Diceros bicornis minor: one gene and its partner. The protein of the gene in region 1 binds, or shares a complex with, the protein of each later gene. Links are inferred from orthologs where the notes say so. Each region holds a gene or a part of one and is shown on either strand. Other genes may lie near its edges.

Region 1 (7,773 bases):
CTGCCGCACCGCTTGTCACGCCATGCTGTGGCGGCATCCCATATAAAGTGGAGGAAGATGGGCACAGATGTCAGCTCGGGGCCAATCTTCCTGGGCAAAAAAGAGGAGGATCAGCGTCGGATGTTAGCTCAGGGCTGATCTTCCTCACAAAAAAAATAAATAAAAAAATAAAGCAGCGCAGTAGAGCCTGGGACTCCTTTTGTGACATGCCCACCCCCAATAGTGGAAAATGCATCAGGAGCCCACAGCACCCCGCATAAGCAAAGATGAGAACAAAGGCCCATGACCGTGTGTTAGTGCCAGATTCTAGCCCAGCGGTACAGGAAGCCCCCAAAATCAATAGCAATTATAGAAGGATATCTACCTTACCAGGAAAACTACTGAAATCAGAAATTAGTCAGGAAACTAATGGCCATCATTGCCGGCATAACGTCAATCAATACAGTACTTTAAAAGCTCAAAGACATAGAATGTTAAATATTGAGACGTCAATCCAAGCCCAAGCTCTGGATCAAAGCCAGTGAGTCAGCAATATTTCCTGGGCATTCACCACAGGCAGGCCACTTGGCACTGCGGGAAATGACAAAATGCAGCGGTTTTTTGGACAAAAATCCAAATCATAAACCCCCAACTAAAAAAATGCACATTGACGGTCACACCTTTCCATTGCAGATGAGAGGGATACTTTTGGAGAAACTCTTGAAGCTTTTAGATAATAGATGGACTTAGAAGAGGCGAGAAAAGTGCTAAGCAGGAATGTCTTAAGACCACTGCCCACAAGGACATCTCTTCGAGTTTGCCTCACCGAAGCTGGCCTCATCTAAAATCTTCCTTCACATTGCCTGAATATTGTATTTTGTGGCTCCCTGATGCCACAGCCTCGAATTCTATAAATTACAGATCTGTTTAGGTTAACAAAGTTTTCTCGTGGTTTTTTTTTTTTTTTTAATTTTTATTTATTTTCCCCCAAAGCACCAGTAGACAGTTGTATGTCGTAGTTGCACAGCCTTCTAGTTGCTGTATGTGGGACGCGGCCTCAGCATGGCCGGACAAGCGGTGTGTCGGTGCGCGCCCGGGATCCGAACCCGGGCCGCCAGCAGCGGAGCGCGTGCACTTAACCGCTAAGCCATGGGGCCGGCCCTCTCCTGGTTTTTTAAATAACACAACTCCTCTGGGTTGCTGACAATTTTAGGACCACCAACCATTCCTAATATTGAGTATTAATGAATACTGATTCAATTTGCTAGTCTCTAGCTGGGTTAAGTACAGTGAGATGGGAAGAAGGAGAAATGCAGCAGAACTGGGTAAGCCTGGACAGCTTTTGTAATATGTCAGAGAAGAGGGTCTCTAAGGAGGCAAGGAAGGCAGAGAAAAGTGGAGAGGGGGGGCAAAGATGTAATTTTCCAATTAAAATAATTTACTCAGGGCCAGTCTTACAACTAAGAAAAGTTTCAGAAAAATATTTCAGCAACTTATTCTTCCAACCCACATATCCTCCCTCACCCTTCCACCTTTCCTCCCCCGCATCACCCCACGCCCAAAATTAGGCATGTACAGTACTTAGATACAGTGCATGTTAAGTAGGGGCTTCTGGGCTAACCTGGGAATGTAAGCGCCTTCTATAACATTGTTTCAGTGGGAAAGTGCTTTCTCCATTCCAAACCACCAAGTTCCAGACAGGCACACTAGTACACTTTTGGACAGAAGCCATCAATCGAGTCAGTCTGAGCTCAGGGGCCCAGCCTTCTGACTCCAGGACCTGATGGTTCTTGGTGAAAAAAAAAAAAAGCAGTGTGCACCCATGAGGCCACTGCTGTTATACACACAGATTCAGGGTACCCATAGCTTTAAAACGGCAAACCTTAACACACACGTAATGACACTCTGGATTTGTATGGCACTTAATGTTTTCAATGTGCTTTACATATTTATTTTTGAATGAACATGTTTTTTGAGATTTTTCAATAATAACCCTATACGAGCGGAGGTATGAATGGGTATCCTTAAACCACTTTCATAGATAAGGAAATTGATACCCGCCTCCTACCTTCTCAACAGCCAGTTGATGGAATCCAGCCCTCCGCACCAGGCGCTGGAACCCACCTCACAGAGCTGCAAGGCGCAGCCCAGGGAGCCACGCCCTTTTGTGCACCCTTGGTCCCTGACTTACTGCCGCATCATCACGAGCAACAGTCAGTGACAACACTCGCCACAGAACCACGGGGGACACTTCCTTCCTGATGCAAAAGTAGTCAAAGTGGGAAACTCTCCAGATACACGGAAATCAAAAGTTGTTCTCCTACAAGACAATCTAGACACAGAAGAATGAGCTGAGGCTTTTTCCGTTTTGTTTTGTTTTATTGGGGTGGGGGGTTGCTTCTAAAAACTCCCACCCCTCATCCTCCCCCTACTGCTTCCCTCCTGCTGGTCGGTACAAGTTCCACAAGTGCACCTTTGTTTCAAGTAAAGTAACTTGGAACAGATGGGGATTACTTTCTAGATGGCCGTAACGCTTTTCTTAAACGTGGAGGGAAATGCCCACGAGGACTGCTCCGCCTGGGACCCGCGGCTCCCAAGGCGGCCACACCCTGCCCTCCTGGCGCGTCTGGAATGTGGGGCCTCCCTGCGCTCCCCTCCCCTGCGCCGTCTCGCTGGGCTTCCTGCGAGCACTTCGGGGGGATGCCCGACCCCCTCCCTCTGCCCCCCCAAGACGGGGCGCAACCGGCCCCCCTCACTCCTGCCCAGACCACCTTGCCACTGCGTCGCCTCCCCGTAGAAACCCTGGTGCCGACCCTCCCTCCAGCCCCCTCCCGCGGACGGCCTCCCGGCTCCGCTCGCCTGAGCTGCTCTTTGCAAGGCCGTCTCCCCTCCTCTCCGCGCCCCGCTAGCCGGCGGCCCCGCGGCCATAGCGGGCGGGCGGGCGGGCCGCGCCCCGCTTACCTGGGCCGGGCGCCGAGAGCTGCAAGCGTCCCAGATGCAGAGCGGAGCCGGCTGGCCTGGGTGGGGCTTTTATAGCCGCCACATCCTCACGGTGCAGGAGAGGCCCGCCCCGCCCCGCCTCCCCCGTGCCCTGCCCGCTCTCACCCGGAGCCAGGGTGACTCACCCTCCCCGGCCCGCCCGCCCGCAGGGGTGGCCTAGCCCTGGAACATTCCCCGAGCCGCGCCACGCGGGAGCGGCCCCCGCGCCCATGGCCCTGCCCTCCTTTAAAGCGCCGCCGAGGCTTCCTCGAGGCCCATTGTCGACCTCGTTTCTTCTTCCCTTCCTCTGTTTCCTTCCTGAGCGCCACGTCGAGTTCTCAGCTCTGGCTTAGGTTAATAAATTAGCAGGACTTTAGTAGACTCTGATCTTAGTTAAGTCAGGTTTTTTTTAGGCGTCAATGCAATGGAAGGAAGACTTGTTCCAAGAAACATAAATCGTGATTCCCCTGAGCTGGGCTGTTGGCATCCATTTCCTCATAACTGTCTGCAAACATATTAGCTTAACCTCTGACCGGCAGTTCCCGGGAGGACCGCGGGGAGGGCGATCCGCCGGGTTCTGCCCTGCAAAGACTGGCCCGCCTCGGCCTCCGAGCGCGCAGGGAGGCCGGGAGCCAGGGTTGGGGTGGGCGGTGGGAGGCCGAAGCCAGGAGCCAAGATCCTACCCCACTCCCGCCCCGGGAGGCGCCCTCTTCCCGAGGGCGCTCTACTCAGCCACTCCACGCGCGCCGCGCCGTGTAGCTCTGCGCGTCCGCGTGGCACGCCGTCCTGGGCTGGGTGGGGCGGGTGGCTTTGAACTTCGAGTTCCAACAAAGAAGTTTCCTCCCTTCCTTCTTTCATAACTGCCGTTTTTCACAGCCTCGCAGCCAGCTCCCTGCTTGGTTTTGCTCAGTTTCTCGATTTTCTTCCCTGCTCTCCTTCCACGAGCCAGGATGGCAACATGTAATAGCAAACATGTTTTTGTGTGTGACTGAGCAAATACAGTATTCAAACCTCAAACTAGCGGGAATGTTTTTCTAAGAATCCGGAAGACCTCTCTCTGTGCCTTTGAATTCCTTCCTTTCACACTCGCCTCATGCAGCTCTTTCTCCTACGTTGCCTGTGTGTTTTAATCCATCTTGAACGTCCATTTTTTAGTTCCCAGTTGAGCGTCATTTCACTCCTGGGAATCAAAAGGAGAGCAAGGCCAAAAAACATTCGTTGCCATGCTCACGGTCACCTAACCAGGTAGCTGCAAAGTCGGAGCCACAAATGGGCACTCGACACTCAGCCCAGAGCTCACTGTCACCCTGTTCTTTCATTGGGAATGATACACGATAGGCCCTATCAGAAGGACAAATAGAGAATAAAGCAACTCTTTTGATACAATTTCTGATTTACATTTATAGCTCTTCAATTTAGGCTGAAAGCCTTACAGGCAGAAATCGTGTTTATGTGCCTACTCCCCTGAACGTTTTGGAACAGAAGGGGAACACAGGTGGACCATAATGGTGGACAGGATTCCACCTCCCCTTCTTCTTCTTGGGGCAGGTTGCACAGCCTCTTATTCCTAACTGTGCTGTGGGAGGCCCTCCACAGACGACAAGATTTACTTAGAAGCATGTGGAATACATAAAAGCCACTAAGTATCCAAAAGAATGTTTTTGCTTATCTTGGGCATCCAGCAAATCCAAACATACAGATCTGTGCAATAGACACAGTTTGCTTCATGCTGCAGAACTTGACACTGATGTTATCATAAAAATGGAGCTGTTAGAAGGCATGGTTTGCTATTTTTAAGGAATGTGGGGCCAATTCTGCCAGTATAAAAGACCTTTTGAATCTCTTAGTGCAAAGATTCTCTTTTTTCTTTCTTTCTTTTTCCCCCATGGCTGGGGAGAATGTTTACTACAGCAGATCTCAGATTACGTCTGCTGTTGTGCGTACTGTCCTCTAAAGCCTCAACTTTATTTTGTTCACACTTTATCTGCTACACCTCAGCACCGCTAATGGTGCCTTGCTAGCAGTGATAGGCACTCGCTAAAAATTATAGAATAATAGAACAGAGTTATTCACCCAGTAATAGAATGTTAGAGCAGACAGAGGCCTTAAGAGACTAACTTGTCTGATCTTGATTTTTATAGATGAAAAAGCTGGAGCCCAATAAAGTCCCCTGCCCAGTTCAGAGATTAAATGATGCACTCAAGTTACTCATTGCAATGTAACAAATTAGTACCAAAACTTAGTGGTTAAAACATAAATAACCATTTATTTGCTCATGATTTTGCAATTTGGATGGGACTCAGTGGGGAGAGCTTGGCTCTGTTCCACATGGTGTTGGATGGGGCAGCTCAGCCGGGGTTGCAGGATGGAAAAGTGGCTTCACTCATTTGTCTGGTGCCTCAGCTGGAGTTGCTAGAATGGCTGAGAGCAGGCTGGGTCTCTCTGTCCCTTGGTGTCTCATCCTCCAGGTCCCCCCTTCTCTCTGCACCAGGGGAGTAATGGCAGCTGGCTTTCCAGAAGCAAAAGCTGAAGCTGCTAGGGCTCTTGGTTTGTAGGCTATACAAAAACAACCAAGAGGCTGGGTTGGCTTCATAGGCTGTAGTTTGCTGATCCTTGCTTTAATCCATTGTCTAATCAGTTTTGGGCTTTGCCCTCTGCCCTCTTGACTCCCCTCTCTGAGGTGTCTTTCTTTTTCCTTAAGAAGGGCCCATATTTGTAGCTGAGTAGCTCTCTCAATCGGCTTCATGCCAGTAAAAAATCTCAAAGGTCCAGAAACTTCTTTTCTTTTGAACTGTTTGTGTGTCCAAGCTGGCAGTTCTTTCATTAATACATTTATCTTTAAAAACTCTGTGGATTTTCTATAAATCTTATTGAGGTTTACTTTATGCTTCAAAACTCATATCCAATACAATTTTCTCAAAAACTTTGTGGGTTTTTTATACATCTTAATGAGGTTTAACTCCATGCTCCAAAATTCACATTCATTATTCTTTCTAAAAACAGACCTTTCTCCCTGTTTTGTGCTTGTCAGGCTGGAACAATGCACTTAAGATTCTTAGAAGCTCTGAGATAGTCTTCAAAGTACCACATTAAATCTTTCTGGAATCTTAAAATAAAAAAGGTCTTGTAGCCACACATGATTTGATCTTTATCCTGAGGCCATTTCTTACTTTACAAATCTTTCACTGGCTAGAATTCTGCTTGAAACCCAAATAGATCTTTCTTTAGTGCATTTTTTTTTCTTATACTTTATCATAAGCAGCTAAAAGAAGACTATTGGCATTTAAAGCAGCCTGCCCGGAAATCTCCTTGGCTAGATTCACAAATTCAATAGGGACATTTTCTGTTATTCATGTTACCACAGGCAACAGTAATGTTCAACATTCTGCCAACACATAACCTAGGTTGCCTTTTCTCTAACCTCCCGTAGCAGTTTCCTCACCACTCTTCCAACCTCCATTAACAGTCTTCTCTCTGGTTGCTGCCTGGCAGTAAAGTCAGTGTCACTTATTTTAGGTTTTTGTTACAGCAACACTCCACATCCAGGTAGTAATTTCTGTTTCAGTTACCTATTACTAGGAAATAAACCACCTCGAAATCTTAGAGGCTTAAAACAACAACCACCATTTATTTGTTCACGATTCTGCAAAGGGCAGAGTTCATTGTGTCAGCTCGATTCCAGTCTGTTTAGCCTTGGCTAGGGAGACCCAAATGAGGCTGGAAGATCCAGCAGGGCCTCTCTCCAGCAAGGTAGTTGCTGGTTTTCCAGAGTGAAAGTGGAAGCTGCAGGCCCAGAACTGGAACAGGGTCGCTTCCACTGTATTCTGTGGGTCAAAGCAAGTCCTATAACCCAGATTCAAGGGAAGGGGAAATAAACTCCACTTCTTCATAAAGGGAGTGACATATGTTTACATGGGTGGGAGGAATTGTTGGCAACCATCTTTGCAGACAACCTACCACAATCCTGAAACTAGTAAGTGGCAGAGCCAAGACGAGAATATATTTTTCTGCCTTTCAATCCATTGCTTTTTCCATTCCACCATACTTCTCACACACCACCACTGCTTCAGTGAGACAAAGGCTAGTCTCAAGTCCTCTACATTATAAGGTTTAGATTCTCACTAACCAGAAAGCTATGATTTCCTTGAACCTTGTTATGTGCAATCAGTATATAATAATGTCTTGTATTTGAAGAGGTGGCCAGAAGAGGAAAAAGAGCTACCTGGAAGATCTAACATCCAAATAATAGGAGTTCTATAAAGAAAGAATAGGCAACATGGAAGAGAGAAAATCATCAAGAAATAACTGACAAAATTTTCTAGAACTGAAGGCCGTGAGCTTTTAGATTGAAAAGCCACAATAAATGGAAAGACAAACAAACCCGAGGCACATTATCATGAAATTTCAGAACACTGGGTGGGGACAAGGAGACATTCCTAAAAGATCCCAGAGAGATAAAAAAAAAGGTCATATATGAAGAGTAAGAAATAACGATGGCATTATATTCAATACTCAGATCTTAGTTTCTAAATACTATTCCCCAGTAAATGAATCAGCTCTCCTGGGAGAAACGGTTGGTTCCAGGGACGGGTAAGCTTCGTTCTAAACAACTGATTGGAACATATCAAAAAGGCACAAAAGCCAATTTGAAGGGGCTCTTACTGGTTAAAATTTGGGATAATTTGAGCATCATATTGAATAATGATGGGAATTGATTATATTACATTGAACAGTCTAAACTGATAGTTTAAAAAAATACACAAAAAGATGGGATAGGGAAAGCTCTTATTCACAGAAGAATACCATCTTATAAAT
Region 2 (7,231 bases), on another chromosome or scaffold:
CCACTGCCCTTATAGCGCCTGCTCAATGAATTGGTAAGAATGAAATTGACAATAATGTAAATTTTGATCCTCCTGGGAGTAGCAGGGAAGCAGGAGGCCTCCTTAGAAAAGTGTCTGCTCCTGAGCAGTCCCAAATGTTTGCTCTGGACCCACGCCCAGATCCGGGCCGTAATTTCAAAAAGGACACTTCTAAAGAGCAAGAGGTCTGATTTACTTTGCTCTTCTGTGTCTTGTCCATACCCTAGTTTTCTTACAGCCCACCCAGAAAATAATTGGCAGGGTGTCAGTAAAAACAAACATCTGTTATTTAAAATGTGTTTGAGGTTTCCTTCCTTTTGCTTTAGCGATTTTAAGATGAAGAAAACATTTTTTGGACGGGAAAACTGAACCCAGAAGGCATTCGTGAATTTGATCCCTAAAGACAATTCAGAGAAAATGAGTTGAGGCAACGGATCTGGATCCAGGTTGTCTCTCCTACCTTTCAGCAAACATAAAATTTGCCCACTAAAAACGTGGGCAGCAAAGGAAAAGTTTCAGATGCAATCCAATAGGAAGAAAAAACTCAAAAGACTTCTCTACCCCAACGGAGTATATCCATTTTTCCTTGGAGTTGTCAGGCATCAGCCGGAATTGGCAAACAATAGCCACTGTGAGAACTGCTATTAAAGCCATTGGGTGGGTCAGGTGGTAGTTATTTCGTGAAAGGGCTAGGAAGTGCTGAAAATTGTTAAAAATAAGTAAATTCATTCTTTTTACTTTTGATGTGAGATTCCTAAATTGTTGAGTCCCAGGAAAATGAGAAGCTTAAGAAAGATCCTAAAACTTCAGTCCAGCTCTCCCAGCACTCTGAGTGCTAATTTATACATTATAACCCTGAAAGAATTCCATTGTTCCCTCAACTTTAATAGACTGGACTGTGTCCAAGGCCATACCAAGTGGGTAGTGCTCTAAAAAAGTCACATTTTTGGAACTGTCAGTGGAAAGCAGGGAGGCACCCAGTCTCAGCTCTACTCAGCCCAAGACTTAACATCACTGGGTAGCTGCTTGTGGGGCTGGCCTGAGTCCAGATATGGGAGGAAAAGGCCCATCTGATTGTATGCAGGAAAAGCCAGGGAAGAGCATCACCTAGAAATCAAAATGCTTTATGCCCAGCAGACCCTCAAGAAAATATCAAGAACTGAAATAAGAAACTCCATATGGTAGATCAAGGACCACGATGAAGAAAGTAGCTTCTGGCTATCAAGGAAGGCATATACTATTGAGAAGAGATGATTAAGTAGACACTGGATAAGAACCTGTGGGGGCAGGGCTGATGAAGAAATTTCAAATGAGTTATATGAACTCATTCCTGCCCCAATCCCTGGCACTATCTTTTGCAATTTGCTGAAACACGTTGGAGGCAAAGATCACTGACAGGGTGTTTCCATGAGCCTGGCCTCACCTGAAGTGCAGGATATAAAAATCCGCTTGGTTGAAACACAAGCTGCAGGGGAAAAAAATCTGCAGCAGTGCAAACCTCTTAACGGAAAAGCAACCTCCCAAGTAAAGCTGAGGCAATCCGCCAGCAGGCAGACTGGCTGATAACCCAGCAGCGGTCTCACCAAGGCCCTGCCAGTCTAACTGCTGCCCTCACCCACAGTTCAGTCAAGAAACCTCTCCTTCAGATTGCCGGCCAGCTCTGGTGTGACTCACTTCCTCCTGGAAAATGCCCTCTAAGATGGCACAGTTCCCCTTTTCCTTTAGGGAGCATTCTGTCTGAACCATCTGCAGAGAGAATCTGGAGCCATCAGGGCCACACCCACATGGTCTCACAGCTGAGTCACAGGCCTCCACTAGGAGAATCTGGGAGCCCTTTTTGTGCTAACCACGCCCTGCAGAATGCTTCCAGCTCCCCAAGGGAGGGAAGGGGGGTGTGCTTAATGTATTCCAGAGTCTGGCCTAGGGCTCTTTGTAGCTGGTCCGTAGCTGCTCCGCTTTCCTCACCACCCCCACCCAGCATGGCAGCATCCCGGTTTCAGTTAGGTGGAGACCAGCTGGGGCTGGGGAGCGCCATTCCTTTAGCCAACTCAAGTTGTGACCAGGTACCAACAGCACGTCTCTCTCTGCCTCATTGCACTGGGCCAGATTAATCTAGTTTGGAAGATCCTTCACCAAGCCTCCTCTTCCCCTATCTCTTTATAGTTCCACTAGTTTGATTAAGATAGCAAGAAGGGAACCCTTTCAATAGGGAAATCACTTCGCATAGTGCCCTCTCCCCCACTGCCCCCTAGCAAAACTGCTTTATAAAGAAAACAAATATATCTTCCTCCCTGGGCAGTAAGAACCTTCCTTTCTAGCAGACAAACAACAGGAAGCCCAACCTGAAGCCTGTGGGCGAGGGACTGAGGAGTGTCCCTTAGGAAGGGAATCCGCCAGCTGCCAACCCGCCCAGCCCTCCCCATGCCTGCTCGGGCCGTCCAGCTAGGAGGCTGGGAACATCTGGGCGGAGGTCAGCCTGCAGCCAGAGCCCACAAAGCAACATGCCGGCGAGGACGCGGGAGAGACATGGGGGTTCGGATAACTCGGGAGACTAATCCAAAAGTAGGAAAGTGGGAGTAAAGAAAATTAAACAGGGAGAAGAAAGCAGATCGCGGGGCACCATCGCCCAGGTCCTGCAGGAAAGGACAAGTGTCCCGTCCTCCCGTCCGCGAGGATCTAGGGAGGGGTCGCGCCGGGCCGGACAGGGGCGCTGCTCGCCTCGCCTGGATGTAGCCCAGAGGGCGGAGCAGCGGATACCCCTCAGCCGCCCCCCGCCCAGAACCGCCGGCGCCCGACCACCCCGCGAGGCCCGGCCCGGTGGGCCAGAGCAGCCGATGTTCCCGCCGAGCACCGGGTCCGGGGCTGGAGACAGCCCGGGGTCGGCGAGCAGAACTCACCTTGGCCGGAGACGCAACGCAGACACTCGGCGGCTGGGACGCGCGGCCAGTGAAGAGAGCGCGGCGGGCAGGGCGCTTTAGTACGTGGGGGTGGGGGGAGGCGGGAGGAGCCTGGGCCGGTGTCGGGGCCTCGGCTCACCCCACCCCTTCTCCTCCCTCCTCTTCCTGCCCCCACCCCCCACATGGGCGCAGCGCGCACACCCTGCTCTCTGTGAGGCTGTGCAGAGAGGAGCCTCGCTCCTGGCCTCCCCCCGCCCCCAGTGAGAGCTTTACAGGACGTGTTGTAAACTTCTCTGCCTACTGGAATGCTCTCGTACAGTTCAGGACATCCCTCCGCACCCTCGGCCGTGCCCTTCCTCTCGGGTTTGGTTTTAGAAAGTGAGTGAGTGTGGAAATCAAAGAATCCAGACGTTCTGCGGGTGGGGCTCGCTGGCCCGGAACCAGATGTAAGCGGCTCTTCGGTAACCTACAGGTCTTGGAATTTCTGTTTTCTAGATGACACTGCAGGGAGGGGGCACGTGGAGTGCTAACGACCGCGCGGGCGTCAGGCTGGGTTGTGCTCAGATTAGGCCCTAGGAGGTCGGTACGGAGGGGTTTCGCGGCCTGCGCCCGCGGGTCCGCGGGCATCTGGAATAAGCCGAGGTCCCTGCCCCCGCCTGTCCCGCGGGGTTGGGGCAGAGAGGGTGCAGTTCGGCTTGTCAGCTCGAGGGCGTTACAAACCCTCTGTTGACCAGGGATTTACCACTCTTGTGTATGGCTTCACTTGGTCGATAGTTCAGCTTCAGTTGTGGTTGATACTGTTAAAACGGAAGATTCAAACCCTGCTTCTTTCTGTCCTGTACTTCGCCTGTTTGGTCCTTTAGAAGAAATTTCTGGAAGAAATTTAGAGAATACCTAAGTGTTTCCTAGCGGATGGTATTCCCCTTTCCCTCTTGACATTTATTTTAATTGTGGTTTAGGGTTAAATGCAAAGTACTAGCAGCTGTTGGTGGAAATGGGCCCAGTCCCAAGTCCTGGGTTTTCCTTTGTTCCCAGGGGAGGTCCTCAGAGGAGTGAGTGATCCCGAAGGAATGAGCAGACTCGGGGAATCCTCCAAGTGTCACCATGTGACTACTCTTGGCTCTTGCCAGGAAAACCCAACTTGGATTTCAGCTCTCACTCCCACTGAGTTCCTGCGACCTTGGTGCTGACTGTTCTGGGGGCAGTTCTTCAAACTCTTCCCATATGCTTCCCAAGTTCTTCCCAGGCCCCAGGTTACAGTCAAGAGTGGAGAAAATCCTGGATCCCTTTATTCCCAGGGAAGATGCAACTGGATTTAGAGTGACAACGCCTGAGTTTATATACTCCTGTTTATTTGATTTCATTTGATTCACAAACCTTTAGGAATGCTTAGTGTGTGCTAGGCCCTGGGGATTCAGAGGTTAAAGAATCAGTCTCTTCCCTCAAAGAGCTTCAAGTCTTGTTGGGAGAAAGATAAGTAAACAATTAAAACCCAGCATGCTCAGTGAATGGTAGAGGACACTATCAGACATTATAAGAACGTTGAGGAGGGGCCTGCAAGTCCCCTTGGAGTGGTCACAGAACTATTCCTGGAGGAGGCAACATTTGATAGATGCTTTAAAAATAACAATGACACTCTTGCCTTTTAAATCTGATTGTAAAAAAGCTTACATTCTTATTGTAGAAGGTTTGGAAAATATGGCAATGTATAAAAAAGAAAATACAATTATTTATAAACCCGTGAACCAAAGATGAACACTTTTATGTCTTTCCTTCTAAGTCTTTTCATGCATATATAATATATATTTACATAACTTGGGGACTTGGGGGAAAATTATTAATATTTTTTGAAAATTGAACCAAAAGGGCATTCTTGAATTTGATCCCTAAAGAGAATTCAGAGAAAATGAGTTGAGGCAACAGACCTGGATCCAGGTTGTCTCTCCCACCTTTCAGCAAACATAAAATTTGCCCACTAAAAAAGTGGGCAGCAAAGGAAAAGTTCCAGATGCAATCCAATAGGAAGAAAAAACTCAGAAGCCTTCTCTACCCCAACGGAGTGTATCCATTTTTCCTTGGAGTTGTCAGGCATCAGCCAGAATTGGCAAACAATAGTCATTGTGACAACTGCTATTAAATTAATTGGTGGGTTGGATGGTAGTTATTTAGTGAAAGGGCTAGGAAGTGCTGAAAATTGTTAAAAATAAGTAAATTCATTCTTTTTACTTTTGATGTGAGATTCCTAAGTTGTGATCACACTGATTATAAAATTACGTACAGTATTCTATTTTCATCCTGTAATGCTTTATCTTGACTATTTTCTGTGAAATATTTATCAAGAGCATGAGTGTTCATTCATTTATTCATTATTATTATTTTTTTCATTCAACAGGTAACTATTCAACTACACTGTGGCTTCTCTACTCTCTTCTCCAGCCTGCCAGCCAGACTCTAGGGCTCCCAGGCCCTACTGGCTGCAGCTCCACAAGATGGAAGAGACCTGGGTTTCTGAAACACTGTGCTAAGTGCTGTGGATATAGTGGTGACAATGGTCAGCATGATGGACATTATCCCTGCCCTCTTGTGGCGTTTTATAACTCTGTGTACCGATAGGTCAAGAAAGCTCTAAGTACCTGCCATGCCAATACTCTCTCTCTAGGAGAAGTGGTCCCAGGCAGTTCTTTCTCCAGAAAGTGGTATGCGTTGTAAACCACATGCACATGGTGGAGCCAGCTCTGTTTCCCTAGTGACAACTGATGGGACCAGGGACCAGCATCTGAGTCAGAGCTGACCAAGAAGGAGGTTGGGGTGGCAGAGGGTGAAGGAGAGATGTGTGGAGAGGAGCAGACTGAATGGCCATCAAAGGAATGGGCACAGAGGCCCAAGCCAGTATGGTCCCTGGACTGAAGATGAGGCAATGTTCAAGTTCTCCACCAGGCCTGTGATACACTCAGTGTACAAAAGGCCAGGAGCAGGAGGCATTGTTTTACTAATGAGGCACTATTGGGTATTTTCCCACTTCTCCATGTGGAAACAAAATCGTTACCCAATGGTTCTCAACTTTTTTGGGTTTGTGGCTGTAGCAAAGAGGGCGGATTGTCCACCAGAAATGTGTGTTCTTCCCGTCATAGTGTAGAAGTGTTGCTGGGAAGTGGCTGCTCAGCCAGGGATTGTGATCCTGGCAACTCTTGCACCTAGGTAAGACTCTGACTAGTCACCAACAGAATGGAACTGGAAGTGATGTGTCACTTGCAGGCCAAGGTGGTTAAGAGGTGACTGTTCCACATTCTTTCTCTCCATCTGCTGGACTCTGAGGCTCTAGGAGTGGAAGAGCCACAATTGGAAGGAGCTTGGGTCCCTGAATCACCAAGTGGAGGAAAACCACCAGCTGACCAGGAATGCCCTCATTGGACTAGTTATGTGAGTGAGGAAGAACCCCAGGATTTGGGGGTTTATTTGTTACGGCATAACTCTAACGAATAGAGTGGCATTCTTTTGATGCTAGTATTTCTGGCAGCACATTCAAAAGGATTAAGTTGCATGTATAGTATGTACTGGTAGGTCAATAAAGGTCAATTATACTGATCACACTTCAGCAACGTGTCAGTGTTTGAGTAGGATTTACTGCTCTGATCACTCTCTCTTAGATACTCATGGGGCAAAGTTCTCACAGGTCCTGGCAAGCAAGTTTCTTTGTGTGTATCAAGTCGTGCCCTGCACCACACAGAAACTGTGTGCAGCCTAGCTCAACATTCTGTCTGCCCAGACATGGCGTGAATAACAGTTGTAGCAAAAGGAAACTTTATCTGTCAATTACCAAGCCCTAGTAAGAGTCACAGCAGTACCCCATGGCACTTCTGTTGAGGACCACTGATTTACAGTTGCTTGGTCAATTCTTTTTGCTGGCAATCCAAAAAACAAAACAAAACAACAAACCCTCAAGGGTGGATATACTAGTACATCCTAAATAGGGAAATATAATTTATTAAATGTTCCCTATATTTTTTGAACATTTAGGTTGTTACCAGTTTTTTACTGTCATAAATAATAATTATGTATAAAAGGACTACTTTTGAATAAACATCTTTGCCCACATGTTTATTTCTTAGGGTAGAATCCTCTCAGGGGCTTTTGTTTGTCTGTTTATGTGTATCTTAAAGGACAGGTAGGAATTGGCCATGTTCTTTGGGGGCAGACAGGAGGGAAAAGCACGTGTGAGATCATGGAATTGTGAGGTAGTGCATCTCTTCTAGGAATTGACCCGAGTTCTGCATGGGGTTGTATGCAGTCCCTTAGGGCTTTGGACGGGGATGAGT

Evidence for each region.
Region 2: the proteins of ANXA2 (region 1) and S100A10 are in contact, whole or in part, in a crystal structure (PDB 4FTG), measured with the Homo sapiens proteins. The link is inferred for Diceros bicornis minor from reciprocal best matches to the Homo sapiens genes ANXA2 and S100A10. Residues at the interface, in NP_001002857.1 of Homo sapiens: Val4, Glu6, Ile7, Leu8, Lys10, Leu11, Ser12, Leu13; in NP_002957.1 of Homo sapiens: Phe39, Gly41, Phe42, Asn45, Gln46, Ala51, Lys54, Ile55, Leu79, Ala82, Cys83, Tyr86, Phe87, Met91.

Annotation. Positions count from the first base shown.
Region 1 is NC_080744.1:55,241,208-55,248,980, forward strand, and holds the start of ANXA2 (annexin A2), read right to left. Parts: upstream 3,017-7,773; 5' UTR 2,941-3,016; intron 2,312-2,940; exon of another isoform or gene 2,048-2,311; intron 1-2,047. UniProt on the Homo sapiens protein: Calcium-regulated membrane-binding protein whose affinity for calcium is greatly enhanced by anionic phospholipids. It binds two calcium ions with high affinity. May be involved in heat-stress response.
Region 2 is NC_080743.1:56,176,739-56,183,969, forward strand, and holds the start of S100A10 (protein S100-A10), read right to left. Parts: upstream 3,015-7,231; 5' UTR 2,916-3,014; intron 1-2,915. UniProt on the Homo sapiens protein: Because S100A10 induces the dimerization of ANXA2/p36, it may function as a regulator of protein phosphorylation in that the ANXA2 monomer is the preferred target (in vitro) of tyrosine-specific kinase.